Kluyveromyces lactis: one gene and its partner. The protein of the gene in region 1 interacts with the protein of each later gene in a pairwise test. Links are inferred from orthologs where the notes say so. Each region holds a gene or a part of one and is shown in the gene's direction. Other genes may lie near its edges.

What was found. The genes of interacting proteins can lie anywhere in the genome.
Region 2: the proteins of PEX11 (region 1) and PEX4 interact in a protein complementation assay, tested with the Saccharomyces cerevisiae proteins (2 studies listed by BioGRID). The link is inferred for Kluyveromyces lactis from reciprocal best matches to the Saccharomyces cerevisiae genes PEX11 and PEX4.

Annotation. Positions count from the first base shown.
Region 1 is NC_006041.1:176,919-179,548, reverse strand, and holds PEX11 (Pex11p), read left to right. Parts: upstream 1-1,330; coding exon 1,331-2,035; downstream 2,036-2,630. Other genes in the region: DNA replication protein PSF3, read right to left, coding at 1-318; SPT20 (Spt20p), read left to right, coding at 2,558-2,630. UniProt on the Saccharomyces cerevisiae protein: Involved in peroxisomal proliferation. Promotes peroxisome division and biogenesis.
Region 2 is NC_006041.1:364,595-366,996, reverse strand, and holds PEX4 (E2 ubiquitin-protein ligase peroxin 4), read left to right. Parts: upstream 1-1,401; coding exon 1,402-1,878; downstream 1,879-2,402. Other genes in the region: KLLA0_E04049g (pepsin-like aspartic protease), read right to left, coding at 1-462; KLLA0_E04005g (RidA family protein), read left to right, coding at 2,109-2,402. UniProt on the Saccharomyces cerevisiae protein: Catalyzes the covalent attachment of ubiquitin to other proteins. Essential for peroxisome biogenesis. Required for UBC4-independent ubiquitination of PEX5.

The DNA of each region.
Region 1 (2,630 bases):
GAAATGAGGGCTAATTGAGTGAAGATCGAGACTAGTAGCACCAGATTTAATAGCGTTTAGTACTCTTGGAGCGAATAAATCAGGCGGGAGCAATTCGACAAAAGGAAGAGGTTCTTCAACTCTAGAATCTTCATTAGATTGCGCACCCACTACAGCAAGAAGATGGACCATCCAAAGTGGTAACTCTAGTTTTGCATTTTTCGATATTGGTCTGCCTGGGTTTCCCTCCAGATAACCCAACCCAGGAACGTCATAGTTGAATCTACAGGGAAATCTAGTACCATCAGCCAGTATATCATCTATATCATAGTATCCCATCTCGGCATAAATCTAAGGCGATTCTCAGGAAGCTGAACCGGCAAAATATAGGCTGGTATTTGGAATTGTAATCTTACTTTTGGCGTTTCTTCAATATGAGATATACAAATGCTTTAAATGATTTTAGGTTTGGGCTTGATGGCTCTAAATGTAAACAATAGAAAAGAACGCAGTATTATAAAGCAGAAGACATCGCTCGCTAGTTAACGATTCTTTTTTACGTGTTTCGCGATGTTGAGAGGAAATGCATCTCGATGATATAAATCACGTGATTGATGCTTGCACACTACAAAATCGTCATTATATCACTGTACACGATTCGCATACATGGCTTTCTCGTTGTCCCTTTTTTTTTTCTCGAGTTTCGGAACAAATCGGGCCATCCTTTTCAAGCTGTTAGCGGAAGGACATTTGGTCCGAAATACACGTAAAAATGTGCGCCTACATACTAAATATTATGTCGCCCTTTTTCCCGGGATCCCAGTCTTCACCTAGTAAGATTGCTATTGTTGCATGTCTTCCCCCGGTACAAATGTCCTTAATACAGCAGGATCTTCCGTGCTAGTAACTTCGCAGCTCTGACTTGTCCCTCCCATTTTTTGTGGGGGACCCGAAAGAAGTTGATAATAAAGTACGTTTCGCTGCTAAGTGGAAATCCTCTCCTTTTACCGTAGAGCCTGACTATTTTCTGTTGACCCTGCTTTGATCTATGCCCATTGACATATGAAGTATAACATCACACTTTATATATATATATATATATTTATATATAAAGTAGAAAATGACTGCTGAAAATAAAGACAAGCAGTTTTAAGCATTTTCACTACTCCTTGTATTCCTATCTCATCAGACTCTGTTGAAATACGTTGCACCTGCGATACAATCTCTCTCTAGTGCTTTGTTTGAATATACTGTTTCCAATATTCTACCTCCTTCAGAAATCAATTGAAATACTGAGCCAGTTATCCTGAGTCATCTTCCACATCTAAACTTATAAGTTTTACAAACAAAAATGGTTTTAGACACAGTTATTTATCATCCTACGTTGACCAAATTCATTTCTTTGTTGAATAAAACAGCCGGCAGAGAAAAGATCTTGAGATTGCTACAGTACTTGGTTAGATTCCTTGCCGTTCAATACAGATCTGGTTTGAATAGACAGTTACAATCTGAATTCACGTCTGTCAGAAAGATTTTGAGATTCTTCAAGCCATTGAATCATATCCAGGACGCAGCCAAATTATACGATAACAAGATTGCTCCAGATCAATGGGTTAGATGGTTGTCCATAATCAAAAATGTGGGTTATGTTGGGTATTTAACTTTGGATCAAATTAACTTGTTGCGCATCCTAAAGTTAATCCCAGCTACTCCTATTACTGCCAAGAAAGTTCCTCGTTACACAAACTGGTTTTGGTTCGTTGCGTTGATCGCTGGTTTGATCACCGATGTCCGTAAGTTGTACACTTCTCAAAGAAAGATCGAAGCCTCTTTGAGTTCTAAGGGCAATGCACCAACCGAAAAGGCTAGTTCTGAAAAGTTGACCGCTTACTACAATGAGAGATTCGCCGCATTCAGAAGACTAATCTGGGATTCTATCGATACTTTCATTGTCTTAAATAACTTGCAATTCTTGCGTAATGACGAATCAAGTGTCGCCCTGGCTGGTGTCGCTACATCCGTCTTTGGTCTACAAGATGTCTGGAAGACTGCTTAAAGGACTTCTCCTTCCCTTTAATTTAGTTTATATATATATATATATTTATATGTATCTTCTTTCAACTTAACATATTACTCGATATGTTGATAATTGTAATTTCAGCTGGTACCGGGATAATTTCTGATGATGCCTCCGTATTAACTAGATGTCTGTGCAGCTATTAGGATATACTATCACCATTGTTTCATCATTTTAATACCAATGTTACCCGCACTTGTTGATGTTTACACTTTTCGACAGGCTTCAAAGTTGAAATTGTTGAAAACTACTTGAAATTCCATTTCATCGAGGACATTAAGCGAGCACCATATTCGCGGCTACTCTTGCACTTCTATTCGTAATTCATTGCTTCTGCGGGATAACATCACCACTATTTTTATAGGTGGATATTCCTCAATTTAGACTAATCGCTTTGGGATTATTTCATTCTGTTCTTTTCATTGAAAAGCCGGTTGTTAATCTGATCTGGTATTCGAAATACAGCAGATTGTTAAAAAGACAAAAGAATTGAAAAAAAAAATGAGCACAGGCACTGGATATCCTCCCAGTCATGCAAAAACAGGAGACTCTCGTTCTATTCCTTCACAGCAAC
Region 2 (2,402 bases), about 190 kb from region 1:
AGCGATACCAGTGTAAGTGTAATCGGTGGCTACATCAGTACCGAAAACACTCAGTAAAGACGACAACAGGGCAGTATAATCCTGTCTTTTTTTCTTCGAAGAAGACCTAGAAGCGGAGCAGAACGGATTGCCCGATCCAGGCACCCACAAATCAGAAGAACCAGTATCGATTAAAACACCAACCTTTTGTGCAGGAGTACCAATCTCTAAATCAACAGAGTAAAACGTGTTCTGGTTATCGATTTCAACGTCGACGTAACCATCTGCACGCTTCTTCAAATGGCCAACGCGTCTCTTCGATAATGACGCCTCAGACGCGTCATTCCCTCTCAACTTGTCAAAAGACATGAAGACATGCTTCTTATTCGCCTCACCGACCTGGGAAACGTCACGTTTCGTAATATACCCAGCAGAACCAAGGGACGCCAACAGCGCCCCCAAACAAACATCACTTAACTTCATTGCTGGTGTTTGCTATATATGCGCCTTGGATAATAAAAGGGGGAATTAGTAACCAGTACCAAGAAATGAACTTTAATTATTAAAGAAAAAAAGACGTCAGCCAAAGTATAACGTCTTCTGTAAAATGAAAAGACCCTTTATATATATACGCTAAGACAATAGCCGCTGTTTTCTTTCCAATTCAATGAGTCAGTTACCTCAAACTTTTAGGAGAGAAGGTACGTGATGTGAAATGCAAGATGGGTAGAAACATTTTCCAGTGTACGTTTAATCGTGGGAAAAAAACCTTTATAATAAGGCAAGTTTCATAGAACTTCCTTTTTTTTTTTTTTTTTTTTCAACGTTTCAAAGTTCCCACATCGCCAACTTTCGACACGGGAAACAAGCACAAGCCTTCATAGAGCGGGGCATTTCGTCAACGATTAAATATAGAAATGAAACGAGGCAAGAAAAAAAAAGAACTGAGGACACACCGTGAATGCAGATGGGAGCGTAACGGGCCAAGCCCCATCGATGACGAGTATGTTTTTTACTCTGTAGAATGTAGAGCAATGTGTAGTTGTGTAGTTGTGTTGGCTACGTTCTCCTCAGGGTCTGTCCTGTGAAGTATATCTGGGTAACTAGGTTACGGACGTGGTTTATTTTGAGTTGTCATTTGAAGCGTTTTGGCAATTTGGTGACCACTAAGTTATCTGGCTCTCCAGTAATACCCGTAATACGCAGTAACTGGGTGAAGAAATTTTGACAACTTTGTTGCCTGAGCACTCCATCGCCGAAAGGGTGATTTGCTGCAATTTTTTTCCTATATCTTATTGAAGAACTGAAAATTATTCAATTTGGTTCAATTCTGTGACGTGATTGATTGATTGACGGTCTTTGCACGCACGCAAGCACGCATGCATGCAAACACACACACACATGGGAAATTAAAGATCGAAGATGAGTAGGATTGTTAAGGAGTATATGGGGTTGCAGAAACGGTTGCAGACCCCTGAATTCTCATGGATCAGTTTTCTTGCACCGGTAGATGATGATGACTTATCCGAATGGGTATGTCGATTCCAAGGCCCGTCAGAATCGCCGTTTGAAGGGTTTGAGTTGGGTTTGAACATTACCATAGATCTGGAAAAGTATCCGATCAGTGGCGGTCCTCGGGTTCTGTTTGAGCCACGTACCGTGGCTCACCCTAACGTGAAGTGGGACACGGGCGAGATTTGCCTAGATCTTTTGAAAGATGCATGGACCCCGATATATACCTTGCTAGATGTTGTTGGAGCTATAAGAGATTTGTTGGCAGACCCTGGTTTGGACTCGCCACTAGATCTAGACATTGCCCAGATATACGATGCTGACTATGAAGCCTACGTGCAGATTGTTAGGTATAGACTTGAGGAGGCGCGGTTGGCACGCGTTTGAGTACGACTTTTACGTAGAAATACACAGCAACATGGCTGGATTTTTCATTTTTCCTTGCAGTGAAATTGAATAGGAATGATTGAAAAAGGATTAAATGATGGAAATGATGCAACTTATATTCCTTTGTACATGTTTTATACACAAATGTATGTTACTTTGACTTAGTACTTTCTTTTTGCCTAGCTTCCCTATTGTTCGCGGGGTGGAGACACTTGATTATCGAAAGAGAAATGGCTAGAAAGATTACATGGAAAGACGTTGGGGTTAAGGACGGGTTCCCATTAATTTCACCTGGGTTCGCTACAGAATCGGGGAATCAGTTACTATTCAGTAGTGGTTGTGTTGGTACAGATCCTGTTACCAATGAACTACCTGAGGATTTGGAACAACAGGCTAGAAATTCCATGATCAATTTGAAGAAAGTGCTTGAAGTATCTGGATCTTCTGTTGATTCGGTCTTGAAAATCTTGCTGTTCGTTTCCGATGGTAGTTACGCTGGTATCGTTAACAAAGTTTTCAAAGAA